Callithrix jacchus: one gene and its partners. The protein of the gene in region 3 interacts with the protein of the main gene of each other region in a pairwise test. Links are inferred from orthologs where the notes say so. Each region holds a gene or a part of one and is shown on either strand. Other genes may lie near its edges. The genes, in order: ZBTB16, ZC2HC1C, TRIM27, JOSD1, PUS7L, TBC1D22B and EIF4E.

Region 1 (4,246 bases), on a different chromosome or scaffold from region 3:
AACACACACACAACCCACACACTAACTTGGGTCATTTCTATCCACGGAAGACTCAAAGTTATTGAATATGTAATCTAAAATCTGGACTGTTTGTATGCGTATATGTACATCAGCCAGAGACAAAGAGAAAGATGTGTGGGGCTGGGCGGCAGTGGCTCACGCCTTTAAGTTCAGCACTTTGAAAGACCGAGGTGGGTGAATCACTTGATGTCGGGAGTTCGAGACCAGCCTGACCGACATGGAGAAATTCCATCTCTACTAAAAATCCAAAATTAGCTGGGTATGGTAGCTAACACTTGTAATCCCAGCTATTCAGGTGACTGAGGCAGTAGAATCACTTAAACTGGGAGGTGGAGGTTGTGGTGAGCCAAGATCACGCCATTGCACTCCAGCCTGGGCAAAAAGAGTGAAACTCTATCTCAAAAAAAAAAAAAAAAAGTGGGTGTACACACACACTTACATAAGGTGCTGTACCTACCCTCCTACCCATAACTGAGCAGTGGACAGGAGGATCTAAAAAACAAAGAAGGATGAGTCATTAAGGTATGGAGAGAGCCGGTAGTAAATATGCGCCCCTACAGCCAGGAGTGCTCATGCTGGGCTGGGTGTGTGAACTCCACGTGTGTCCCACAGGCTCCAAGGAGTCTGCAAGTCCTGTGACCAGGGGCAGCAAGGGATGCTGGCCATGGCTCAGAGGCTCCGGACGTGGTATTGGCACCAGCATCTGTGGTGTGAGTTATAACCAGTACGAAGGGAAGACAGGGCTGGGAAACAAAGGCCTCTCCCTGAGCCTGTTCAGGATCAATAAGAGGGCTCCTGTACTCCGAATCCCGCTTAAGGAGTGTTAGAAAGACCGCCCAGGCCCAGGGCCCTCCCCGTGTCTGCCTTGCAGCGGCCAATATTGCAGTGAATGAACTGGGAGCAAGGAACAGCAAGGTCTCTCCCTCACTCTTCAAACACTGCTTACTTGCCTCCACCCCCAGAAGGAGCTCTATCAGTTCAGGAGCCTCCACGCTCACACAGAAAGGATTCACAGGACGCCTGATCAAGACACTTTTGCTGCCCACCCCGGGGTGGGGATGGAGGCCGCCAAGGGTGGGATGACCATTCAGCCGAGCCTCTCCACCTCGTGCTTTCCCGCAGACATCGGGACTTCTGAAAACTAGGAGAGAGCAGCCAAAAGAATGGATGCTTGGCGCCCCAGAACAAGCCGTTTGGGTCCTGAGGGAAATCGGGGCACCCTCAGGCAGCCGTCTTCCCCACCCACCGCTCAGCGCCTGCGATCTGGCCGGAGCTGGCTGCAGCGTCCAGCCGGGCGGCGCAGGGAGAGCCGGCGCTAACCCGCCAGAGCCTCAGGATCGACTGCGCTCTCACACGCCCCCAGTTCCCAGCGACCCCCACCGAGAGTTGGAAACGACTTCAGCAAACTTGGGGAAGCAACTTTTCCCGAAGAGCTAGACACCTGAAAGAAGGAGAGCTGAACTAGGGGCAGGGGAAAGCGAAAGAGACGGGGAGGAAAAGCCACAGCCCGGGCGGGCAGGACTACGCGGCGGCAGGAGGCGGACCCGCCCCGCGGCGAAGGGGAAGCACAAAAGCCCCGCAGCGAGTTGTGGGAGGAAAGGCGAGAAGGGGTCTGCCGGCCCTCCCTCTCCGACCCAAGGCCGTGACCCCCAGGAGGGACCGGCTGGGTCCCGGGCCTCGGGCCAACAGCGCTAGCGGCCGGCGCGCCCGGCCCAGGCTCGGTGCGAGCGGCTCGGGAGCCGGCGAGCGAGTCGGTGCGGAGCGCTCTGTGCGTCTCGGTGGGTCCGCGGGCCGGCGGGACCGTGCGCATTTCCAGCGCGTGCGGGAGTGTGCGAGGCGCTGTGCGAGCGAGCGGCGGGCGCGCCAGGGTGGGAAAGGCATCCCGAACGCATCAGGTGCAGAGCCTGGCACCCACCGAGAGCGGCCGGGAGCGCACGGCGAGCTCCGGCGTCACCGCCCGTCCCGCCGAGAGCCGAGGAGGGCCCGGAGCGCTGGAAACCCTCTGGAGCTTCCCTCCCTCCCCTGCAAAAGGGGGATCAAGTCTAATCAAGAAAAAGCCCACCACGTTTTTTCAAAGAGAAACAAAACGTAAGCCGTCCCAGTCCTGCTCTCCTCCGCCCCCGCATCTACTCGTCAGCTTCTCCAATTCTAGCTTCCCAGCCGGCCGGCGAATAAACACACAAATAAATAAACCACAACCTTATCTCGCGCCCGCGCACCGGTCGGCAAACATAAGAGCACCCACGGGCTCTGCTCCTCTGCCCGCCCCTGGCAGTACAAAGCCTCCAGATCCCCGACCCTCTGCTCACGCCCTCAGCCCCCGCAGACCGCTACGCCCCCCACCTCTCACCCCGACCGTGCCCCGGAGAGGAAGGGCTGCGGAGGCAGCTGCGCCCAGGCTGACAGCCGGGGCTCCCCCTTCCAGCCGATCCCCAACCGGTGGTGGCGACGGCTGCAGCGGCAGTAAGGGAACACGCCAAATAAAAAAGGCACAAGCCCAGCGGCCGAGTGGCCGAAGCGAGCGCGCGCCCCCCAGACCTCTCCAGCCCCGGGGGGGCTCGGCGCGCGGCGTTCGCTGGGCGGTGCGCCTCTCCCCGGCCCCTCACTCACCGCAGCCGAGCCGGGCACTGTGGGGTGGGTGTGCGTGCCTGTCGGGGGGTGTGTGCCTGTGTCGGGGAGGGGTGTTGCTGGGGAACTGTTGCTCTCCGTATCACGGCGGCAGCGACGGCATCGCCCGGCAGTTCGCAGTACCCGCTCTCATCGCCCTCAACTCCTCTCTGCTGCGAGGTTAGCAAATCACCACCGGCTGCTGCGCCTCCGCCGCGTCCCACGTCAACGCCGAGCCCCCTCCCCTGCAAGGCCCCGGCGCCTCTCCATCTTTAGTGCTGGCGGCCGAGCCCGGCTCCCTGCCCACAGCTGCCCCCCTTCCCTCCCCCCTCCCGCGCCGTCCCCGGGCTCAGCCCGCCCACCACCCCGCACTGGCCAAGCCCGCGCGCGCTCCCCGCCCCACCCCTCCTTTCCCCTCCCCTCCCTTCCCCGCGCTCCGCGCTCCGGGCTTCGCCTGACATCTAGCTGCTGCTGGGGCGCCGGCGGCCGCCGCTCACCGGCCGAGGAGAGAGAAAGCAGGGAGCTAGAGGACAGGAGTGCAGGGAACTCGGAACCCTTAATGGGGGCACCGAGGGTGAAGGGCGCGCAGCAGCCCCCACCTACTCCCAGGATTTTAATTTCTATCGGATACGGGTTTGTGCCCCCTCCCCCGCACTCCGATGCTCAAGCACGCAGTTTTGTCCCCTTTTCCAATCTTTGCCCAATTCAGTGCGTGTCATCTCGCCTTTAACTTTCTTCCTCTTGGCTCGGGGCTGCGTTCCCAGGGGCCCCTGACATCAGTTTTAAAAGGCCGCTTTCCTAGCCCAAGCCTGGGCTTCCCATCCTTCTGGCTACTGCGCGCCTCCCGGCTTGAGCATCCGGATTTCAAGAAGTCTCCAGATGCAGAATTCGCGGGCCCTGGTGAACCTGGTGCCATAAGGTCCGCTGGGATCTACTGTCGAAGCGACACGCCCCTTTTTAGATGTCGCGGTTGCTGGAGGCCAAGGTCGAGTCCTGAGAAACTTTTATCTCTCCTAGTCTTGGACAACCTCTCAGCTCTGCCCCCCCCCCCCCCCCACACACACACACACACATACAGAGCAATCTGGGTGGAAACAGTTCTCTAGAACTGCCCCCAGCTCAGCACACAGTCTTCAGGGGGCAGGGGAAAGCTTGGAAAAGCTCTGGGCCCCTCAGAAGCGCGTCCTCCTCTCAGCTGGCCGCCCTACTTTAGAGGGTAGAGCAGCCAAAGAAAATGTACCTTTCCTTCCTCTGCTCATGTGAAGGTAAAAAAAGGGGAAAAAATTTTTTGGAAAATAAAAAAAGAAAATGTACCCTTCCTCTGACCGCAGAAAGCTGCTGTCCCCGCTTTTCTCTGGAGCTGAGTGAAGATAGGGGGCCAGAGGCACTGGCTGTGGATTCTGACTGAAGCCTAGGAGGTTGGGGTGGGAGGTGGGGGTGGCCGAGAACACCATGCAGGGGTCTCAGGCTAGTCAGCCCTCGAGGTCACGCGGTTTTAGCAAGGTGGAGCTTACATCACCCAGGCCTAAGCTTCCGTCCATGACTCGTGGGTGGGCCAAAGGTTTTCCGCAGGACTCACCTAGAATCACATATCCATGCTTGCCTCTGGCATTGCTGC
Region 2 (4,185 bases), on a different chromosome or scaffold from region 3:
AGATCCTAGTCTTGGGAGGTGGCAGAATACATTGCAAAGAGTGAGGAGTTCTCTCCAGGTAACGAAAATGCTGCATTTTTCCTTTTTGTGTCCTTTAAATTTTCTACAGTAAACGTTTATTACTTTTATAATCCAAAGGGCACAAATTCTAGGTCTAGATTTTTTTAGTCATTCCAACCAAGAGTTAAATGCTGACCCTGCCACTTAAAGCTGTTTGTGACCTCAAGCAACTCACTTAGGCTATCCAAGTCTTGATTTTTACATTGATACAATGAGAGATAATGAGAGAATCACATGAAAGCTCCCATCACAATGCTGGCAAACAGTAGTAATCAAGAAATGTTAATTTTAGATGTCAATTCTTCCTACATGATACATGAATTTTCCCTAAAGAAAACTGATGACGACATAACAGACCCCTACAATGATCCCCACATCAAGTCACATCCATAAGGCTCTTGTTACCTTGGCTGAAGCTGGCCCCTTCCAGTTCAAGTACTGCTCTAGTTCTGTGCCCTTAGCCCGGGCCCTGGAGGAGTCGAACACTTTCCTCTTGGACTCCCGCATCCTGCTGCAGACTGTGGAGTGTCTCTCCAGCCTGAGCAAGAGGAATTTGCGCCCACAGTGGCTGCACTCGCCCAGTTGTGGCTCTTCAATGGAGCCGCCGGACCCTGAGGAGTCTGGTGCCATGGACAGGCTGGAATTTCTGGTGGATCCCTGCAAAGAACCGCCTGGTGTTTCTAAAGGCGGAGAGAACTTCTCCATCGACGGCTCTGAGACTCGGTCTCGAATTTTGTTATTGCTTGCCACCAGCCTTTCCCTTTTGAGCCTCTGGATTCTATAATCAGAGAGCTGGAATGGACTCGAATTTTGTTGAGACCATCCCCAAGCTTCATCCTGTCTCCTGTCTCTACCGAATTCTTCCTGAAACTCAGAGTCTGGGGAGAAGATAGGTTTGTACATGGTGTTGCTATTATTACCTTTAACTCTTCTCCTGGGTAGCATAATTTTCTGTAGCTCTCTGTTTTCATTTTCCTTGGCCTGTTCCTTTTGCTTCTGGATCTTTCTGAGTTCCTCCTCTGTCTTCTTCAGCTTTCCCCTCAGAAGACTCTGCTTCCTCCGGATTTCCTCCTCTAAGTTCTCTCCTGCAGCTTCTAGTCTTCGGATCTGCACCAGCTCAGTCCTCTCGAAGTTTACCGCGGCCCTCTCCTCCTGCACCGCAGCAAGAACAGTACCAGTCACGGAAAAGTTGACCTGGTCCCTCACACCAGGGTTGCTGGATGAAAACGCTCTCAGCTCAGGGGGCCTTGGGTAGACATTCTGGTCCCCATCCATGCCAGCCTCACCCATACTGCACGACTTCCGATGGACCACAGGTTTCAGTGGGTACGCCCGGTCCACCCCAACTCGTTTCTTTGTCAAGGGAATAAAGTCCTGGTTATTGGCTTTGGGATACCAGGATTGAGGGCCTGACGAGTAAAACGAACACTTTCCTTGGCCCTGGGAATCACTTCCTGGATCTTGCTGGCTGATTTCAGTACAGTGGGGATAGGAGTAGCTCCGCGCTTTTACGTGTGTGTTCCATTTGGGGTGAGGGTAGACTTTATCCAGCGTCAACTCTTTGTTGCTCAAAAGCTTCTTCTGGAAACTGTTCCTCAGGTGCCCCTTCAGGGACTGCTGGGAAGAGTCACCTTGTTCGGAAGAGTCACCTTGTTCGTAAGAGTCTTGCTTGGCTGAGTGGGGCCCTGGAGCTTCTGTTGTATTATGTGGGAGCATAACGCCCACAGGCAGATGTGAGGCCAACTGGAGACCAGCCATTCAGGGCCTGGACTGACGCCTATGAGAGATTTAAACCAGATACATGGGAAGGGTTTGTCTGAGATTCACTCTTGGCTGCTAAAGCAAACTATTTCTACATTTGCCCTGCCCACATTTCCTGAAACTTTTCTAGGGACAGTGGTGCTCGATCTGCCAAAGTTTCCCTTCAATAAGCATTCGGTGAGTGATGATGATGCACAAGACACTGTGTTAGGCCCTGAGGATAGAAAAAACGAAGGTGCCACAGGTGTTTCTACTACCTGGCTTTCTTTCCTCCACCACCAGCCTCTGCCACGCACAGTACACTCTATAGTAGGTGGAAAAAGCATCGGATTGAAAGTCAGGATTTAGGCTTGTAACAGCACAAGTGACTTCTGCCTTGCTGGGCCCTGTTTCTTCACCTGTAAATTGAAGGGCTCCCTCCGAGTCCAGCCTCGCCATTTTGCAGGTGAGACAGCTGTGCCCCAGAGGTACTGAGTGGCACAAAGAGCTCTCAGGTCTTCCCTCCTACTGGAACCATGCTTGACTCCAAAGAGCACAGAGGCTGCTGGGTCCTGGAGCAGGTGCCTGGCTGGCAAACCCTCATCCCAGGAGTCCCCGTGGCGCAGACGGTAAAAGTTTTGTAATCTGAGCGTTGAGGCCACCTGACCTGGCTGCGGCCTGTTTTAGATCCCGAAGGCTGAAGTCACGTTCTGTCACGAAGGGTCAACTGTGGCGCCCCCACTGCGGACTCCGCCTTTGGGGACAAGCCCTCTCGCCCTCCTGCCCTTCGGGCCCTTGGGAAGTGGAGGTACTGACCCCAAGTCTCCCCGCCCTTCTGCATACCTCAGGCCCTGCGTACCCAGAACTTGTACCTGCGAACCGCTCCTGCTCAGGGGAACCCCCAGGCCCCAGTTTCCCAAATCTGACCTCCCCCGAGACCGACGGCCGCGCAGGCGCTCTCAGCTGGGCTCTGTTATTCCCGGTGCCTGGAGACGGAGTCACTGGCGCGCCGAGCCCCGCCCCTCGCCGCGAACTCCTCGGGGAGGCGCGCGCAGGCGCCGTGCACCAGCGACCCCAGGCGGCCAGGGGCTGGGGTGCGGTCAGTCCGGGCGTCACTTGACCCAGTGTCCGGCCAACTCTGCAGCTCGGTCCAGCCCTGCCCTTGGGGAACAGGGGAGGGGCGGGAAGAGTCTTTCTGGGGCTCCATCAAAGAAGAACTTGTACTTTACTGAGAACGATGCTCCCAGACCCTGGGGTGTGCCTTTCTCGGGCAAAGGGCGGGGGCCCTGGCTGTGCCCCCGCGTGTTTCCGCCGCAGGATGCAGGCGTCCGCCCGCCTGGCGGGAGCGGGGCTGCTGCTGGCCTTTCTCGGCGCGCTCGGCTGCGCTGGGCGGGCCCCAGGTATGGCTGCACGCGCGCGCTCGCTGCTTGTCCTCGCCAAGGCTTTGGAACTTGCTGTCGACGTTTTTGCTACGCTGTATCTTTCCGGGGTAGCTTTTGTGGCCAATCTAATTATTTTGATATTATAATGTTTTACTCTCACGTGGTAACTCTGGCCGTCTCTACTTAGGGCCCAGGAATGACTCAGCCAAATGTAATGATGATAAAGTTAACTACCAGATGAAAAATAATCAGTATAACCTGGTTTCAACACTAAATGATACTCTATAACTTGTTGACATCAAAAGAAGGTTTATTTTTCTTCGTTTTGGTTCATCTGTGTAAACCGTTTGGAACAGGCAGTTCACTTATTCCCTGTAACTGCTCAATTCATGCACATGGAAAATAATGTAGACAGTAGTCATCAGTGTTAATACTTCACATTACAGCTGTTACATGTTACAAAGAAATTCCTTGGTGGACCCTCCAGGTCAGTCCTGTTTTTGTTTTTGTTTTTAATTCTTCGTTTTCATCCCTAGTTGACTCCACCGCCTCTCCATGTGTGCAGCCTCTCCATGTGTGCAGCTTCAGACACTCCCCACTCAGGGTCTGCCCGCGGCAGAATTTACCAGCTTGCCCCTCTCTCTCTCTCTCTCTTTCCCACCCCCTTCCCTCTCCTGTGAGAAAGAAGGGCCATTTTCTTTCCATGAGCTCTCTTCTCCGCCTCCCCGGTTCAAGAGATTCTCCTGCCTCTTCAGCCTCCTCAGTAGCTGGGACTATAGGCACAGGCCAGCACGGGTTCAAGAGATTCTCCTGCCTCAGCCTCCTCAGTAGCTGGGACTATAGGCACAGGCCAGCACGGGTTCAAGAGATTCTCCTGCCTCAGCCTCCTCAGTAGCTGGGACTATAGGCACAGGCCAGCACGCCCGGCTAATTTTCGTATTTTTAGTAGTCTTGACTTCACGATCCACCTGCCTTGACCTTCCAAAGTTACAGGCAGGAGCCA
Region 3 (3,500 bases):
GATTTCAGAATCCACCAGACTGCCCAGGAATTTTAGAATTCAATATATGGCCAACCCTTTACTGAATGTGGATCGTGAGCAGAAGAATTTAAATTTGGAGAAACTTCTCCAAATGCCTAGAACACCTTATTTAATAAACTCACATATGGGACTTATGTGTCTAGTTGTATTCTACAAGTGTTAGAAATGTAACCCTATTCTTGTATCTTAGGAGGTAAGAACTATTATTGTCCTCATGTTACGATGAGAAAACTGCCTGTAGAATCCTTACTAAGTGGTACAGCTGGGCCCAGAGCCCAGGCGGCTGGACTCCTGACTGCCCGCTCCTAAGCATGTGCCCGTCAGCACGGCTCAGTTCCTCCTACAGGAGCTGGCGCTTGTGCCCACAAGCAGTAGGAACTCAGTAAATTACAAAGATAAATACTGGCTCAAGTAACCAGGACAGATTTTGTTCATACTCTTTCCTGAAAAATCAAATTAATTGTGGATTAATTTTTGGGTGGCTGATTTTTTTGCCTCCATCAATGCAGACTGAGAACTGACTAAATACAGTTAACAGGCTGTTAACTGAGAAAATTAAGGCCACAGGGAAGAAGTGAAACATCAGGGAAGGCTGGCCAATGGGTAGCAGCCTTATCCCATTTTCCGCACTTTCAGTGCAGATGTTCTTTCCAAGCAACTTTACATCAAAAGCCCAGGAGGTAGATAAATTTACCTTGGATTTTCTCCATATCGGACTGCATTTTTTCTAGGAAAAGAAAACAAGAAAATATTCAGTTTGCATCCCACTATCTGGCTGGAAAATATATCTTTTCATCAGGGAATATGCAGACATTGAGTATAAATCCGTCTCCCTCATGACATCTCCCCGCACGTTACCTGTGAACTGCTTTAGCCCTTCCGTCAAGAAGAGACATTTTTGGGCAAAAATGTGGATTTTCTCTTGCAAATCTGGAGGCGTGATCCAAGGTTCAGGAATCCTGATTCTTTCAGCCCTAAATTGAAAAAATGTGAGTAAATAAATTATTTTCCTCAATTCCATGACCTTCTAAGAACCAGGACTGCCTAAGCTAAACTGTCCAGCACAGATGGACAGTCTTTTTTTTTTTTTTTTGAGACGGAGTTTCGCTGTTGTTTCCCAGGCTGGAGTGCAATGGTGCGATCTCGGCTCACCGCAACCTCCACCTCCTGGGTTCAGGCAATTCTCCTGCCTCAGCCTCCAGAGTAGCTGGGACTACAGGCGCACACCACCATGCCCAGTTAATTTTTGTATTTTTAGTAGAGACGGGGTTTCACCTTGTTGCCCAGGATGGTCTTGATCTCTTGACCTCATGATCCACCCGCCTCAGCCTCCCAAAGTGCTGGGATTATAGGTGTGAGCCACCACGCCTGGCCTGCACTCATTCTTATAACCCCCAAAGCAGGTAGCTCACAGCTTTCCAAATATTCAGTACCCAGAACAATTTACTGAATTACATACGAGGCTGACTTTGCCGGAAAGCACTAATCTTTGATATTTATGGTGGGCAATTACCCCGAATTCTCAGGTTCCCAAATACGGAGAGAATGGCATGTTCAGACAGAAAGGCACTGTGGGGGACAATACCCAATTCCCTTGCCCTGCAAGGCTGTCTATGGCAAAGACTGCCAGTTGGCCACCCAATACCCCTTCTACCACCTTTCACCTTTAATGGCTCACAGCTGCCCAGTCCCTCATCGCTGCATGTGACCTAGTGACTGAGTTCCGGCCTATGAGAGGTAAGATGCATCTCATGGTGTTTTGAGAAGTCTGCTTAAAAAAGTAACATGACTAGGAACAGTGGCTCATGCCTGCCATTCCAATACTTTGGGAGGCTGAGGTGGGAGAACTGCTTTGAGGCTAGGAGTTCAAGACCAGCCTGGGCAACATGATGAGACCTTGCCTCTACAAAAAAGAAAAATGAAGAAAAAAAAGTAATGTCATGTGACTTATCTCATTCCTCTTGTGTGGCTTTCTACCAGCTACTGTGGACTCCACAAGAACCACACCTTAGGGATGGTAGAACAGTGAATGGGAAGAAACCTGAGTCTCTGAGGATCGCTGCAGTTACCATACTAGTCACAGGCTACCTACCTGCACATTTCTCTTTTTCTGAGATGGAGTCTGGCTCTGTCGCCCAGGCTGGAGTGCAGTAGCGCAATTTCACCTCATTGCAAACTCCGCCACCAAGTTCAAGCAATTCTCCTGCCTCAGCCTCCCCAGTAGCTGGGATTACAGGCATGTGCCACCATGCCTGGCTAACTTTTGTATTTTTAGTAGAGAAGGTGTTTCATCATAATGGCCAGGCTGGTCTCGAACTCCTGACCTCAGGTGATCCACCTGCCCTGCCTCCTAAAATGCTGGGATTACAGGTGTGAGCCACCGCGCCCAGCCTGCACATTTCTTTTATGGTAAGAAAAATTTTATCATGTTTAAGCCTTAAGCCAATAACATTTTGGGTTTTCTATCTTATACAGCCAAATTCAATCTTTAATGTCACAAACTGCTATGGTCCGAGGGAGCTAACTGCGTATGTTAGGCTGGAGCTAGACTGGCATCATGAAGTAGCAGGTAACAGGAGATTTGCTTGGGTCATGTGGCTGGGACTAGTATAAACTCCACCACTCCATCTTAGGGTCCCTCAGGAACCTCAATTCCATCAACGTGATTCTATCAACACAGGCCTCCCAGCCCCATCTATAAGGCCCTCCCCCATATCTTTAAATGCTCCCACATAGTCAAGCTGTATTTTGCTTTAGGGGGTTTCACTATTCAGGGTCTTAATCACCTTCAAAGTACAGCTCCCTCAAAGTCAGGTTCCACCTGGAAGGCACTTCCTGCACCAGACATAAGCTTCCCAAGGACCATCCTACTCGCCTAGTCATCCTTCCTGCAAATACAACTCTGCCCTGGCTTGCTGCCCCCTTCAAGCTCTCCCTTTCTGGTCATGTCCAGCTGCCAGGGAGCTCTTCCTCACTTTCTTTTTGATGGAACAGAGAATAGCAAAAATAAGAGCCAGAATCCAGGTGGCTCATCCGTAATTATGTAAATCTAGGTCAGTCACACCTTTCTTAGGCCTTATTTCCCCCGTTATAGAAAAAAAGAGAGAAAGACAATGAAGGGGGAAAAGACTGTGAAACGTGTAGGAAGCAACAATCATAAACTACCCTTATACTCAGCCCAGGTCCCGGTAAGGCTACACTCTCTCCATGGAAGTGTCCTCATATCCCTAATCCACCAGCAGCCGCCCACTCCCTGAATTTTACTGAGAAGAGCTGTGGTTCATATAATTCTTTGCATACTAGTGACTCTTTTCAGGGATACATCAATTTGATAAGATGCCCATTCTCAGGCTCAGGGCTCTTTTCAGGATTCACAAATGTGAAGGAGACAGTCTTCTCATATTTGATTTTTTTTTTTTTTGAGATGGAGTTTCGCTCGTTACCCAGGCTGGAGTGCAATGGTGTGATCTCGACTCACC
Region 4 (3,991 bases), on a different chromosome or scaffold from region 3:
AGAAGTAGGAGAAATACTAACGGCTGGTCAAAAGAAAGCAGTCCAACGTACTGGATCCTCCTTTCAGTGACATGATCTGATGATCTGAGACAAACGATCTTATCTCCCACACCCCAGGTCCTGCAGAGTCAACTCTACTTGCTGCCAGATTATGGCCGTGATGCAAACAACGCATTTGCTCAATGCTAAGGCATTACTCTGGTTACTACTGGCATTGGAAAATAATTACTCTCATTATAGTTTTGTCTGCATATGGGGATTAACATTCTTTTAAGAGTAGGCCTCTGGCTCTTTCAGGGCAAATGATCCGTACCTGTGTTTTTACAAATCACCCCAAATAGATTGCTTCCAGCTGTAATTCTGGTCCCTATGTGGCAATAACTTCATTTACAAGCTAAGAGAGTAAGAAAAACGTCTTCTGGAAATGCCAATAAGCACTGCTCAAAGAATGCTTGAGCTTTTCTGCAATGAGGACTGAGTGGGCCTAACCCTTTCTAGTTGGGGTCATCAGGCAACATCACCACCAGAGTTGCTACGGACCGCAGACATGCTGTTGTGTTCATCAAGACACGACATAAGTGATTCTCAAAACCTTTAACAAAGCAATTCTAGAAAATGAGAGCAGGCTATAATCCCAGCACTTTGGGAGGCCGAGGAGGGTGGATCACGAGATCAAGAGATCGAGACCATCCTGGTCAATATGGTGAAACCTCGTCTCTACTAAAAACACAAAAATTAGCTGGGCATGGTGGCACGTGCCTGTAGTCCCAGCTATTCGGGAGGCTGAGGCAGGAGAATTGCTTGAACCCAGGAGGTGGAGGTTGCGGTAAGCCAAGATCGTGCCATTGCACTCCAGCCTGGGTAACGAGCGAAACTCCGTCTCAAAAAAGAAGAAAAGAAAATGAGAGCAAAGAGAATAAAGCTGAACTCTTTTTTTTTTTCCCCAAGACCTGTCACCCAGGCTGGAGTACAGTGGTGGGATATTGGTTCACTGCAACCTCCACCTCCTGGTGCAAGTGATTCTCCTGCCTCAGCCTCCCGAGTAGCTAGGGCTACAGGCATGCACTACCACACCCAACTAATTTTTGTATTTTTAGTAGAGACAGGGTTTCACCATGTTGGCCAGACTGGTCTCAAACTCCAGGACTTAGGTGATTCCACCCGCCTTGGCCTTCCAAAGTGCTGGGATTACAGGCATGAGCCATGGTGCTTGGCCAAAAGCTGAACTATCAACCTGTGGAGTGCCATTTGTTCTAAGTGGGTAAGGAAGACCATCTAGAATAAAGGAAAAAGAGGAGGGGATCCAGAGTCAGCTTCAAATTATAGCTTTGCTATCTATTTAGAAGCTATTTGAACATATTACCTCACCTTTCTGGCTATTTATCAGTAAAATACAGGCAGTGAGATGAATGCTAGGAGGGCTACACAAAGCAATGTACGAAAAGCCCCACTGCCAGCACCTGGCCTCACAGAAATGCTGAGCACTGTGTACACATCTTGCTTGTGGTATCCCCCAAATTCAACCTTTGATGACAGGTGACTGAATGGATCTTGTCCCACTTCTAGATCGTAAACTCCCCGGCAGGAGAACTTTAGAGGCATTAAACCTAGTGGTCAACAGCGTACTTAAAAGAATTCAACCCAGCTCCAAGTCTTGTTACCTTGGGCAAAGTACTGAACTAAATGCTGTCTTCATCATTAAAATGGAAATAACTCCAGGTATTAACATGTCTTCCATGGGACTGCTGAGCAGATCACTCAAGAAAACAGCAGAGGCTATGAGCATTGTGCTTAGCCCACAGTACGTGCCAGATAAATGGTAGTGATTATCTTTTCCTGTCGCGTGTCCCTTACACCTGCTAATGGCATCTAGCTAATACGTACAGACTTGAAGGCCGATGAAGCTGAGATATTGCCCCACCCACAGAAATCCAGAAATATCAGTAAGTATCAAGATGCCAAGGAGAAGGGTCCCTACCTCTGGAAAATCTCTTGCAGCGTATCCCGGGTGAAGGCATTGCTGTCCTGGAAGACGTTATTGAGGGCGTGGAGGGCACAAAGCTCCCTGCGCTGTTTCTCATGGTAGATTTGTGGGGGTGCTGCCTGGGGCAGCTCCAATGATTCAGATTTGGCCTTGTCTCCTTTCCATGGCACACAACTCATGTTTTTTCTTTTAGGTTCCAGAGATGGCTAAAAACACCCCACTCTTCCCTCCAGTGGAAGAATGTAAGCTTCTCAGTCTTTTCAGGATTCCTGAGGTCCACCTTATTCTCTGGTGTCCATGATTTATGCTTTGTCACTGGGAGAAAAGATTGGAATGAAAAGAAAAAAAAAAAAACCCACCTCTTCTCTCTTCTCAATAGAAAAATAACTTTTGGATTAGTTTTATTTTGCTACCACTGTCAAAGTGCAGAATTTAGAAAATTAAAAAACACATAAAATCTAAGACCTTTTTTCCCTTTCCCCACCCTTCCCTCCCACCCCTCTCCAAAAACCCCACGATTTTCTTGCTGTTTCCCTCTGCAAATGCCAGGCCTCAAAGCAGGAGGACCGAACACAATCGGTCACATCGCTCCTTTTCTTCCATTTCTTTCGAACCACGACGCCACTGATTCGGGAGACAAGGCCTGGGTGGCTGATAAAGCGCACGAATCGAGCAGCTAGCGCGGGCCCGCGGGCGTGGGATCGCGGGCCGCGCGGGGGCCTCGGGGGCAGCCCTCCATCCCCTCGGGTGCGCTGGGGCCCGCAGGACGCGACTCCCTCGGAAGGCGCGGACTCTCGCCCTCTGGCCGCGGCCCTGCGAAGGAGACAACTCAGGTCAGCGGCGAGCGGGCGCGGGAAGTGCGCGGCGGGGCCAGCCCCTGCCGGAGGGAAGGTTCCGCGCCGCAGCAGCCAGGCCCGCGAGGGGTGGGGCCGCAGAGTCCGCCTAGCGCTCCAGGGCTCCGGCCCGCCCGGCTCGCCGCCCCCACCCCAACCTCCCGGCCCGTCACGTGAGCGCAGGCCCGGACGCCCTCCCGCCGCGCCCCCGGCTGCAGCCCCCAGCGCCCCGGGGATTGCTCGCCGCCGACCGCCCCTCACCGCCGCCGGCCTCCACCTGGAGTGCGGGCCGCCAACTGGGCCGCGCGGGCGGGCGGGCGGGCGCGCGCACCTGAGCCCGACGTCAGCGGCCCCCTCCCGGCGCGTGCCCCGGAAACGCCCTCCCGCTCCTCCCCGCCGTGGCGTCACGGATGACGTCATCGAAGCCTGCCTGCGAGCAACGGATGCCTGGCGAGTCCCGGCGCCGATGAGGGTTTGGGCTGTTGCAGGGGCCTCCGGTGTTGGGCTGCGGAGCTCGGCGGCGGCCGGCCGGGCCGGGGTCTGGCGGCTCGGCTCGGCGCCGTCCCAGGAGGGGCGGGGCGGCCTGAGGGAGTCCTGCCAGAACGCCCGCCTGCCCTTCTCCCGGGTGTGGGCGTTGTTCCGGGGCGGCCGTCAGACCAGCAGCTACTGTCCGCGGCTCTGCGCACCCCTCCCCTCTCTGGGCCGGGCTTCTCGGCCGAGCGGTCCTGCCCTCCTGCGTTGACCATTTTATGTGTGGCTAACGCGCTGCTCACCAGGGGGGGATTGCGAAGCACCTGATTCGGTCGAGCGCAAATTGACTTGTTTAGTGCGCCCGACCGCGCCGCGCTGTTCAGGGAGCGCCAAGGGTAGGTGCCTCGCTGGAGTCACATTTCAAGTGCGAAGGAGAATCCTGTTGCAGTTCCTTAGTGTCGCATTTGGGTTCAGTACACACAAGCCACTGTCCTCTTGCCTTGGGGCTCCCCGCTCTTCTCACTGTGGCTTTCCTCTCTGCATAGACCTAAGCGCATTGTGTGCGTTGTCGGGAAAACGCTCAGTCGCACCTGGATTTCATTATTTTTTCTCTTTACCTACTCTTAGGGTAGTTTCCCTCCTTTTGGGTTTTTAATAAAACTGGAAAAACAGGAAGAAGTCGCACTTCAAATTTAGTCTTTAT
Region 5 (3,500 bases), on a different chromosome or scaffold from region 3:
AAAGAGAAGATTGTAGCTTCAAGTATAATTTATTAAATGCCTATTCTTTTAGGATGCTAGAGAATTTGCATCTTTTTTTAAAAAAGTAATTTGACATTTTTATTAACACATGTTTATTTGCTTGATTTTTCAAGGTGAAAGCCATAAAATTGTTTCTTACACCAGAAGACTTGGATGATCCTGTAAATAGAGCAAAGAAGTATTATCTTCAAACTGGTATTTAAGTTTCTTTATCCCATACATAGCCATGCAGATACAGATACACACTACAAATGTTTTATCAGGAGGAGAGCATTTATTATAACATAAATGTGATAAAAAAATAGATTACAGTGGGCCGGGTGTGGTGGCTTATGCCTGTAATCCCAGCACTTTGTGAGGCTGAGGCAGGTGGATCACCTGAGGTCAAGAGTTTGAGACCAGCCTGACCAACATGGAGAAACCCCATCTATACTAAAAATACAAAATTAGCCGGGCATGGTGGTATGTGCCTGTAGTCCCAGCTACTTGAGAATTGCTTGAACCCAGGAGGTGGAGGTTGCTGTGAGCTGAGATGGCATCATTGCACTCCAGCCTGGGCAATAAGAGCAAAACTCTATCTCAAAAAAAAAAAAAAAAAAAAAAAAAGGAAGAAATAGATTATAGTATGTTACATACTGAATAATTTCATTATATGACTTACACACTTGTGTTTTTGGTCAGATTTGGAAGTTTTTTTGTCTGTGCTAACTCTTGTTTAGGGGTAGTGATAGTGGGAGAAATAGTTTCTTTGTTTTTCTTGGCTGAAATCCTCTGAAGACAGAAGAGTTCCAAATTCTAATCTGGCACTGATGGCAATATAATTAATTGCAGCTGGGGAGATGCAAACTTAAATAAATAGAAGTTCATTTATGATTTTCCAAACTTTATGAATTGTTTTCAATCTACTTGCCAATTAGCCCTGTCAGTGTTTAAAACTTTAGGCCAATATGATCGAATATATATAGGATGCTTGATGCAAACCACTAAGGAACATTGTTATGAGTGTGGCTTGAGTCAGACTGCATGGGTTTAACTCTCACTTTAATATTTCGCAACTGTGTGATCTTGTGCAAGTGATTTGACGTCATTTTGTTAGTTTCCTTATCTGTAAATTGAAGCAAATCACAGTACCTAAAGGAGTATTAGGAGATTTAGATATGAAAATGGATGTAATGTTCTTGGAATAATGCCTCGCATGTACTACATATGGATAAATATTACCTTTATTTAAATAATTAAAAACAGCAACCACACTACTTCAGATTCATTCAGATATCTGACTGACATACTGAATTTCACTTACACTGAAATAAAGGATGTCAGTTTTCAAATATTTATTTGTTATCTTTAATTATGTACATATTACATGTGTGCAGTTATTCACAGGAAAGCAGTATTTTTGTGCCACTCCACAATGTGTAAAACAGTGTAGGCACTTCTAACTGTTGTGAGTAATTTAGGTAGTACTAAGGAAAATTCAAAGTGACTTGTTTGTGTCTGTTGTGGAGTCCCTAGAAGATAATTTCCTTATGGTAATGATTCTTAAACATTCATATGCATAAGAAACACCTGCTACATTTATTTCAATGCAAATTCCAAGGCCCTACCTGAATAAGCATCTTTGGGGTAGATTCTAGTAATTTACATTTCAAAGTGCATCCCATTTTGTGAGGTATAGTAGTGTGCCTGAAGGCTCCAGATCTCAACCCTTTCTTAGTAAAAAAAAAAAATTCGTGTTTATGTCCAGAATAGCTCTTTTAAAAACTGTAGCCTCTACTAGGTAAGCAATTAAATTATGTAATCCTTGAGGTTTTTTTGTTTGTTTTCTTTTAACAGTCCTGTGAATAACTTCATGAGTTTATCTCTATTCTGAAGTAAGGGACTCTAGTAAGCACTTGCTAATATTGGACTCTTGCTTTTTTTTTTTTTAATAGCAGGGAAAGTGAAAGTAGGGCCATATTATGCTTATTATTACTTTTAAAAGAAGCTCTTCAAGTGTAGCTAGGTTTAACTGAAAGTATTGAATATCATCTCAATAACCATGTTCATTGCCTCAGTTTGAGAGTAGAACAAAAGCCTTTGTAACTGGCCTTTAAATAAAATGTGGCTGACTTCCAATTTACTCATTGTTTCAGAGGATGCTAAAGGCACACTTTCATTGATGCCTGAATTCAAAGTGCGGGAGAGAGCATTGCTGGAGGCATTGCATCGCTTTGGCATGACAGAGGAAGGTTGTATCCAGGCATGGTTCTCTTTACCCCATTCCATGCGCATATTTTATGTTCATGCATATACTAGCAAAATTTGGAATGAAGCAGTATCTTACAGACTTGCAACCTATGGAGCAAGAGTAGTGGAGGGTGATTTAGTCTGTTTGGATGAAGATGTTGATGACGAGAATTTCCCAAGTAGTAAAGTAAGTATCATTTCATCAGAGTTTTCTAAGAGTAGTTAGTATACCAAAAACATGAATTTTCAAAAGCCCTGATTATGGAAACACTTTCAACATATATTTAATTTATTTGTCTATTTTTACTTATATTTACTCATCTCTTGCTTCAAGTCTGCTGTCAGTTTAGGCTTAACAGGTGTTGGTAAATGAAAAGATAAAAATAGTGGTATGGAGTGAAAGATATATAGGTAGTAAAGCTTCCTTTGAAAAACACATTTAAAAAAGATTACACAAACAATGTACAAAACAGCCCTTAAAAACAAAAATGAAGACATTACAGATTATGCTGCCATCCCTGCTATCATCCTAATTGATTCCCTCTGCTTCCTCCGGAGACTCAACCCCTGTTGTTTGTTATGTGTCTTTCTAGGCCTTTCTCTATGTTTTCACATAAATATCCATAAAAAATTGATTTTTATTCTATTAGTTAACACTGAGAAAAGAAAAGGTAGGACTTATTGGCTCAAAACTTAAAATATGGAGAGGAGAAAGAATATGATTTTTATAATGGTATACGGAACATGTGATGTGTGTATTTCTTTTATATAAATGTAGTTTAATGTATTCATAATTTCCTCTGTCTTAGAGACATTTATATTAGTGCAATTATAATTTATATTATAAAATATGATCCTTTCATTTCCTCCTTGTCTGATTGTTTTTATCTCTGTGGGTTTGAACTAATGAAACTGGCTTTCATTTGATAGTACTTTAATGCAAAAGAACAAATTATTATTCTCTAACTTTATCATAAGTCAGTCTCACAAATTTTAAAAATTAGTGAAAATTTGGATAATATTTTCATATATAACATAATAAAATCATTGAATTTTATAGAAGAAAAGGATTTTAGAGATATACTTTTTAAAATTCCCATTTTATAGAAATGAAAATTGAGTCCCAGCTTGGAGAGGAGACATATTCAGAGTCACACAGGTAGTGGAATTAAAAAGACCCAGCTTCCTGACCCCTAGCTCACTTTGGTCTCTGCTAGAAAAATCATGGAGTATAGTCTGTAGTGAGAACT
Region 6 (4,242 bases), about 44 Mb from region 3:
AGACAATTCAGAGGATACCTTTAAGACAATAAACTCTGAACTGCTGGTTGCCAGGATAAGGAATCTAGAAGTTGTTTTAGATTATTACTTCAAGACATCAACTCTTCCAAAGCTCAAACAGCCAGCAAAAGTTCTGGCTGTCCAGAATACAGACAAAACATCCACCTTAACAAAGCCTTAGTACATTCCTCTTTGGGTTTTGTGTGCAGTGGGTCACTGCATCTTAAGAAAAAGAAGCGCCAGAGAAAGGCAGGTAAAATGATTAAAAGAATAGAGGGGTGACTGGGAGCTGGAGGACATATAAAGAAGGTCCTTCTTTGGCTGGGGCCAGGGTTCAGGTCCTTAAGCATTCTCCAATGTGTGGAAGGACCCATGGGATCAGGTCTTCAAGTATTCTCCAATATTTGGACTTACATGTGGTAGCTGTGAATGGGGGGTGGGTGAGGGGGTGGGGGACACGCAGCCCACCTCAACAGTCCTTGAATGGGACAAAAACCACTCTAGACTGGTGCCTGCTTTCTCTCCCCAAATCACCACGGAATACAACCATAGAAACTCAAAAACAGTAAAAAACACCGACAAGATATTTTAAATGCTAATATTAAATCTCATTGTGAAAATTAGATTGAAAATAAATCCAAGGATGCAAGATTTATAATAGATTAACAAGGGAAATTAAGGATGTTGGTGGGTGAGGAGGAGATGTATCCTTAACTTTGTGATTCACACGATGGAGCTATACTGTGTCCTTCAGAGAAATGGTACTTGGTAATCTGAGTTGGACGGCTATCATAAACCATTTCCTATACACTGTTAGCATAGTCAGAAAGTGAGAGTTATGAATTGACATCGGGATTAGATAATTTGAATTTTTCACCCACAGCACAATTCCTTCCATCGTTTTCAATAAACAGAGCGAGAGGGAGACTCTGATGAACTGTTGCTCACGTGCTGAACCGTTAGCAACCCCGGGCTATCGGATCCCTGATGACCTTCCTTCAGAAAAACGAACGGACATCTAAACGGAACGAGGAAGGGGAGGGTAAATAACCAGAGTGTCCCTGAGTTGAGAGATGTTAAAAATGGAACACAATCAACACATGGGCCCTTACTTTTAGGTTAAAGATTCCTATACATAAATACATCTCGCCCTTGCCAAAAAATATTAGATTCAGGAAATTCATTCCTCACGAAGAAAATAATCCCCTCTCTTCCATTCCTTAGGTCCCTTACTTTACCTGCTTCTTTCCTCTCGAGGGCAGGAACTTTGAGCCCCGCCTCTCTGCTCCTTCAAGCTCCGCCTTCCCCGTCCACCTGTATGCCCTGCCCCTGACGTTACCCGTTGGCTTCAGTGGCTTGCAGGATTCCGGCTTCTGATTGGCCGGCCCGGCCACGGCTTGCGCAGCCCACCAATGGCAGCGGCGCTGGGTGGAGGGGTGCCCAAATCCAAGATGGCGTCCCCAGGAGCTGGGAGTGGGTGACCGGCAGCGGGGAAGCGGCCTGGGTTGGCCCTCAGATTGCGGGGTCTGGGGGCATCTCTCCAGGCAACCCCCCTGGCCCGCCTACAAGGCCTTCCCCCGGCCAGAGCAATGGCCGCTGAGAACAGCAAGCAGTTTTGGAAGAGGAGCGCTAAGCTGCCGGGGAGGTGAGCCCAGGACGCTGAGAGGGAAAGGGGATTGGACCAAACCCTTCCAGATCCTAATCCCTAATCCCGCGGGCCTGGGGCGCCACCGAGGCCGGAAGACTGGTTTGGGGAAGCCAGGCGGGGAAAACTGGGGCTGCCTGGTGGCTGCAGAGCAGCTGTCAGGCAGAGGAGAGAACAGCGAGCTTTGGGGACGGCTGGATGTGGGTGTAGACCGGGGTCTGGGGGCGGAGGTTTCAGGAGGGGTGACCTCAGCTGGAAGGTGGCCGAAGATTGGGCGTAACCCGCAGTGGAGTTGGGAGATAAGTCAGTGTCGGCCCTGGTCTCGGAGGTTCATCCCCAGAGCTGCTTCCCACTCTAATCAGAACTCCCTCTCAGTGGTCTCCACCACGCACAGGTGGTTGCTTGCTTGAGGATGGCCCCTTCCCTTGTTCCCCTAGCTGGACAATTACCCGAAGGATTCTGGTGTGAGTTTGTGGCTTCTTGCCGAGAGGGTTAGGTAAGAAAAGTGAGGACAATTCTCAAGCCTGACCTTACTTTATCTTGAGTTGGCCCTTTCCCACTAGGAATTAATACAAGGCGACCACAGAATCAGGGTTATTCCTTTGGCATTTTCTAAGGATTTGTCCAACCCCAAGTGACTTCTTCCTTCCTTGCATTGTAATGCTCTTCTTGTGCAAATGTACTAAATTCTTTCATTCTTCAGTTGTTTCGCTGGAGAGCAGACCTCCTCAGACTACCCCCCACCCCTTTTTTGGTGTATGTTGAGACTTTTAGCAAATTACCCATCCATCAATCTATTGGTTTACTGTTTCAGTTTATTTTGGGGAGAGTCCTGAGAAGTATAAAGTAGAGTGTGTATTTCAGTCGTGAATTTAAGATTTCTGCCAGCCACAGTCTACTTGGTGATGAAATTCATGTTTGGTTGTGCCCCACGTGCTACCTTTTCTAGTGGATTCAGGTTTTTTCCTTGTGAGATCATCTTTTGAACTCGTGATTTTTTTTTGAGACGGAGTGTCTCTGTTGTCCAGGCTGGAGTGCAGTGGTGTGATCTCAGCTCACTGCAGCCTCAAGCGATTCTCCTGCCTTAGCCTTCTGGATAGCTGGGACTACAGATGCGCGCCACCATGCCTGGCACATTTTTGTATTTTCAGTAGAGACGAGGTTTCACCATATTGGCCAGGCTGGTCTCGAACTCCTGACCTTGTGATCCGCCCACCTCAGCCTCCCAAAGTGCTGGGATTACAGGTGTGGGCCACTGTGTCCAGCAGACTTTATTTATTTATTTATTTATTTTTAAGCAAGAGAGAAATGTGGGTCAATAGTGGCTAGATAAGAGCCTTAATTTTTTCTTTTTTTAATGAAATAGAGACAAAGTCTCACTCACAATGTTGCCAGGGCTAGTCTGTAACTCCTGGCCTCAAGTGATCCTCTTACCTTGGCCTCTCAAAGTGTTGGGATTTCAGGTGTTAGCCACCATGCCCCAGCAAGTCTTATTTTATTAAGGATCCTATTAGACATATGGAGAATAGGGTGGAAATCAGCTTTTAGTAATATTTATTAAAATAATAGGAATGCAAAGATAACTTCAGATTAAAGTGCTGTGGATTTACAGTGTTAATATTACTGTTAAAGATGTTCTATGTCTTTAGGTAAGCACCACTTCCTGCCAGCTGATTCGTTTTCCTTCCTGGTCTAGTGAGCTCTCTGGTTGTGCTGACTGCTATTCTCTGGGATTTTCCATAGTGAGATCATTAAATTTTGACATCCTAAGATTATAATCAGAATCAATAGGAAAACTTGTATCAGGAAGCAGTGTAAGAGATGTGCGACATGGCATGGCCTTCTCTGCCTTCTGACTGGTGGTTGCTATTAACAGTCTTTTTTCCCCATATCTCCTGTGTTTGACTATAGAAGAGTCAACATTTTAAAAGCACTACTTTTCTGAGATAGGAAGAGAAGTCTTTTCAGTTTCCTCAAGTTTCTGGATTCCCTTTTCATTTTGAAGAATATGGAGAAATTGAGAGAGGGCCGGGAACAATGCCTCACACCTGTAATCCCAGCACTTTAGGAGGCTGAGGCGGGCAAATCACGAGGTCAGGAGTTTGAGACCATCCTAGCCAACATAGTGAAACGCCGTCTCTACTAAAAATACAAAAATTAGCTGGGTGTGGTGGCGCTGTAGTCCCAGCTACTCGGGAGGCTGAGGCAGGAGAACAGCTTGAACCTGGGAGGTGGACATTGCAGTGAGCCGAGATCATGCCACTTCACTCCAGCCCGGTGACAAAGGGAGACTCCATCTCTAAATAAATAAATAGACAAAGCAAGACTCCATCTCTAAATAAATAAATAAATAAGTACATAGAAATAGAGAACTTTTGCCGGGCACGGTAGCTCACGCCTGTAATCCCTGCACTTTGGGAGGCTGAGGCGGGCAGATCACGAGGTTAAGAGATCAAGACCATCCTGGCCAACCTGGCCAAACCCCGGCTCTACTAAAAATACAAAAATTAGCTGGGTGTGCTGGCGTGCACCTGTAGTCCCAGCTACTTGGGAAGCTGAGGCAGGAGAATTGCTTGAACCCGGGAATTGGAGGTTGC
Region 7 (3,500 bases), on a different chromosome or scaffold from region 3:
TTCATTTCACAGCACTATACAAGTATGTACTATGTACAAAATATTTTCAAGTTTGTTTTCAAATGATACCTACAAATAGTAGATCAAGTTTTCGAGTTTACAGAATACCATACTACAACAATTTATCACTATAAATGGCTTAATACCTGTTTATTCCATTCGATTTAGATTGCAACACCAACAAAATTCTTAATGCATACATCCCCACCACCTGTCTTTTCCCTATACTATCATTTTGAAACTTACATACAAACAACTCAATTCACTAATCAAATGGTGATGCGTCAGATCCCAATTCTCATGAGTATTAACATATTAAGAGAGTACATTATTTACCTAAGACTGAAGGACTGTGCCTTACTTTATAAAAAAAACAAAGATAGCCACATCAATTTAATTCCATATATATGATACTACCTATTCAATTTATTAAAAATTGTAATAAACATAATAATCAAACTAGTGCTCCAAACTTATACTATTCACATGGAAGACACCACAAAAGACACAATATAGAGACTGCCTTGCAATAAGAAGTACAAATTCCTTCTATAGAGATGGAGAAATAAAAGGACAAATCTAGTTGTCTAAAAGACAATTCACTGTACACATTTTATTTACAGTTTTTTACACTGTCTTAATATGAATAGGACTGCTTTTCTACTTGAGCCATTTTTAACCAAAGCAAAATAACCTAAGTAATACAAAGTGTTAAAATACAGCATAAAGATACAAAAACAGACATACTAATTCTAGTTAGGAATGTAATTATGATGTTACATTTTTTATAATCCACAATTATGTTTAGGAAATCACACAAACATAGATCACTGATTTGAATGAAATGCATAAATTTGTAGCAAAGCTTTGTAGTTACAAAAAAAACAAAAAAATTACCAAAGAATGCACAAAATTAATGTTTATTCCACCTTTGTGTCATATTCCTGGATCCTTCACCAATATTACATGAGGAAAAAAACAAAAGCAAAACAAATGAAAAACTGAAATCAGAATCACTAATATTATCAAGTAGGGAAACAAATAAATTAAAATCTAGCAGCCATCAGCAAGAGTACAGCAAAGACAATGCTGTAAAAAGAAACAAAGAAAATTGCTAGAAAACTGTATGCATCATAATCTTTCAAAACAGCAAAATATGCTCCTGCATACAATAGAACATCAACAGAATTTTTTTCCTGTAAAGTAGAGAAATGTCAAGTTGTTTTTTGAATATTGTGGATAGGTAAAATGTATGTAATTAATGGTAATTCTACTGAACTATTACAGAGTGGGCCAGGAACACATTTATGGATTCTGGGGATGTGTACTGTAAATCTTTGATTGGGATAGTGGACACTCTAGCCAAAAAATATATATATATATATGAACACAGAAGTACAAGACAAAGGCAAATGAGACTTCTCTTATATCTCAGCAACATTTAGATGGAAATCAAATTTAAATGCAGTCCACTCTGCTTTTGGAAGAGGCTTTGGTTCAGCTCCCAAATCTCGATTGCTTGACGCAGTCTCCTATGAGAATACTCAGAAGGTGTCTTCTTAAACAACAAACCTATTTTTAGTGGTGGAGCCGCTCTTAGTAGCTGTGTCTGCATGGGACTGATAACCAATCACTATCTTTGGAGGAAGTCCTAACCTTTCCTTGTATACCCTCCTAGAAGAAAAAAAAAAAAGTAGCCATTAATTTTTATTCACAAGTAAATAAATTTAAAAATTTAGTGTTATTAGTCTTTATATTATAAAATACAGACTTGAGAGTACAACAGGAAATTAGCATAATTTACTCTTTTAGCATAATTTACTCTTCCATTTTTGCAATATTCCTGGTTAATTACATTATTTATGGATTTTTGCTCGTTACCCAGACTGGAGTGCAATGGCGCAGTCTCGGCTCACTACAACCTCTACCTCCCAGTTTCAAGCGATTCAGCCTCCCGAGTACCTGGAATTACAGGCACCCACCACCACACCCAGCCCACTAAAAATGCAATATTTTTTTAGAACATATTGCATAGATTAGAAATTATGCAATAGTTAGAAATTATGTTCTAAATTAATCTATTTAATTTAGAACTTGACAATCTAATTTTCAAGTAAGACGTGACTCATGCACACGTTTCCAAGAACAAAATGGCACTTGTCACAAGTGCCAAAGAGTAAATATAGGGGCTGTGATACTGTATAACAAGGAGATTCTAATCTCATCTACAAAATTAGAGAAGTCACCCCTTTAAATATCATGAGGTCAAAAGGATAATGTTAAGAGAATGAGCACATCTGAGAGCTGAGAAATAAAAATTAGACTGTGTGGCTATGGCTCATAAGTAAAGTGAATATGAGATAAGGCTGACAAGTTTTCAGAGGAAGAGAGCTTCATATGTCACCTTAAAAATTTGAATCTTTAAGAAAATAATAAGGCTGGCCCAGTGGCTCATACCTATAATCCCAGCACTTTGGGAAGCCAAGGCAGGTGGATCACAAGGTCAGGAGATCAAGATGGTGAAACCCCAACTCTACTAAAAACAAAAACTTATCTGGGTGTAGTGGCATGCGCCTGTAGTCCCAGCTACTTGGGAGGCTGAGGCAGGAGAATCACTTGAACCCAGGAGGCAGACGTTGCAGTGAGCTGAGATCGTGCCACTGCACTCCAGTCTGGGCAACAGAGTGAGACTCTGTCTCAAAAAAAAAAAAGGAGGGAAGGAATATAGCAAAAATTCAAAAATAAGCAATATCAAATACAAATAAAGGAATAGCCAGGCGTGGTGGCTCACACCTGTAATCCCAGCACTTTGGGAGGCGGAGGCGGGCAGATTAGCTGAGGTCAGGAGTTCAAGACCACCCTGACCAACATATCTCTACTAAAAATACAAAATTAGCTGGGCATGTTGGTGCATGCCTATAATCCCAGCTACTCTGGAGGCTGCGGCAAACTTGAACTCGGTAGGTGGAGGTCGTAGTGAGCCTAGATTGCGTCACTGCACTCCAGCCTGGACATCAAGAATGAAACTCTGTCTCAATCAATCAATCACGGAACAAACATACTAATGGAGTTAAATCCTCCAACACAATACTAAGATAGTTTTTTCATACCTTCCAAAAGATTTACCACCTTCCCCCTAAAATAAAGTATTAAAAAGAAATTTTATGGTAAAGTGATAATTATTAAATTTGCATTACAATGCAATGCATTCCTTTGAATTATACTTAATTATTGAAAACACCAGAAAGCAAGACTAACGCAAATTGGAAGGGTTAAAAAAAGAATCTTTCTTTGAAAATCTGAAGTCTTAATATAGACTCAAAAGCATTTAATATTGACAAAAATACAAAACTTCCATAGAAAAAAAATTATTAATTTCTCTAATTCTTGTTTAAAATAAAGTAAAACCTCCACAATTGGGTTTTGATGCTGGCAGAAACATTAAAATATGATGACAGATCAACTCCTTTCTCTTAGTGAACCCTATACAGCATGAAATG

Evidence for each region.
Region 1: the proteins of TRIM27 (region 3) and ZBTB16 interact in binary tests that used the Homo sapiens proteins (3 or more experiments, as listed by UniProt). The two-hybrid records come from large-scale screens. The link is inferred for Callithrix jacchus from reciprocal best matches to the Homo sapiens genes TRIM27 and ZBTB16.
Region 2: the proteins of TRIM27 (region 3) and ZC2HC1C interact in binary tests that used the Homo sapiens proteins (3 or more experiments, as listed by UniProt). The two-hybrid records come from large-scale screens. The link is inferred for Callithrix jacchus from reciprocal best matches to the Homo sapiens genes TRIM27 and ZC2HC1C.
Region 4: the proteins of TRIM27 (region 3) and JOSD1 interact in binary tests that used the Homo sapiens proteins (3 or more experiments, as listed by UniProt). The two-hybrid records come from large-scale screens. The link is inferred for Callithrix jacchus from reciprocal best matches to the Homo sapiens genes TRIM27 and JOSD1.
Region 5: the proteins of TRIM27 (region 3) and PUS7L interact in binary tests that used the Homo sapiens proteins (3 or more experiments, as listed by UniProt). The two-hybrid records come from large-scale screens. The link is inferred for Callithrix jacchus from reciprocal best matches to the Homo sapiens genes TRIM27 and PUS7L.
Region 6: the proteins of TRIM27 (region 3) and TBC1D22B interact in binary tests that used the Homo sapiens proteins (3 or more experiments, as listed by UniProt). The link is inferred for Callithrix jacchus from reciprocal best matches to the Homo sapiens genes TRIM27 and TBC1D22B.
Region 7: the proteins of TRIM27 (region 3) and EIF4E interact in binary tests that used the Homo sapiens proteins (3 or more experiments, as listed by UniProt). The link is inferred for Callithrix jacchus from reciprocal best matches to the Homo sapiens genes TRIM27 and EIF4E.

The regions. Positions count from the first base shown.
Region 1 is NC_133511.1:13,736,470-13,740,715, reverse strand, and holds the start of ZBTB16 (zinc finger and BTB domain-containing protein 16), read right to left. Parts: upstream 2,801-4,246; 5' UTR 2,632-2,800; intron 1-2,631. UniProt on the Homo sapiens protein: Acts as a transcriptional repressor. Transcriptional repression may be mediated through recruitment of histone deacetylases to target promoters. May play a role in myeloid maturation and in the development and/or maintenance of other differentiated tissues.
Region 2 is NC_133509.1:109,983,004-109,987,188, reverse strand, and holds the start of ZC2HC1C (zinc finger C2HC domain-containing protein 1C), read right to left. Parts: upstream 2,801-4,185; 5' UTR 2,673-2,800; exon of another isoform or gene 1,838-2,672; 5' UTR 1,819-1,837; coding exon 466-1,818; intron 1-465. Other genes in the region: ACYP1 (acylphosphatase-1), read left to right, coding at 3,038-3,200.
Region 3 is NC_133505.1:2,088,337-2,091,836, reverse strand, and holds part of TRIM27 (zinc finger protein RFP), read right to left. Parts: intron 996-3,500; coding exon 880-995; intron 749-879; coding exon 716-748; intron 1-715. UniProt on the Homo sapiens protein: E3 ubiquitin-protein ligase that mediates ubiquitination of various substrates and thereby plays a role in diffent processes including proliferation, innate immunity, apoptosis, immune response or autophagy.
Region 4 is NC_133502.1:209,578,397-209,582,387, forward strand, and holds the start of JOSD1 (josephin-1), read right to left. Parts: upstream 2,801-3,991; 5' UTR 2,798-2,800; coding exon of another isoform or gene 2,661-2,797; 5' UTR 2,164-2,660; coding exon 1,979-2,163; intron 1-1,978. Other genes in the region: uncharacterized protein LOC144578143, read right to left, coding at 2,661-2,797, 3,248-3,563.
Region 5 is NC_133510.1:31,796,997-31,800,496, forward strand, and holds part of PUS7L (pseudouridylate synthase PUS7L), read left to right. Parts: intron 1-134; coding exon 135-216; intron 217-2,156; coding exon 2,157-2,437; intron 2,438-3,500. UniProt on the Homo sapiens protein: Pseudouridine synthase that catalyzes pseudouridylation of mRNAs.
Region 6 is NC_133505.1:45,599,738-45,603,979, forward strand, and holds the start of TBC1D22B (TBC1 domain family member 22B), read left to right. Parts: upstream 1-1,442; 5' UTR 1,443-1,589; coding exon 1,590-1,645; intron 1,646-4,242. UniProt on the Homo sapiens protein: May act as a GTPase-activating protein for Rab family protein(s).
Region 7 is NC_133504.1:98,583,427-98,586,926, reverse strand, and holds part of EIF4E (eukaryotic translation initiation factor 4E), read right to left. Parts: intron 1,675-3,500; coding exon 1,560-1,674; 3' UTR 1-1,559. UniProt on the Homo sapiens protein: Acts in the cytoplasm to initiate and regulate protein synthesis and is required in the nucleus for export of a subset of mRNAs from the nucleus to the cytoplasm which promotes processes such as RNA capping, processing and splicing.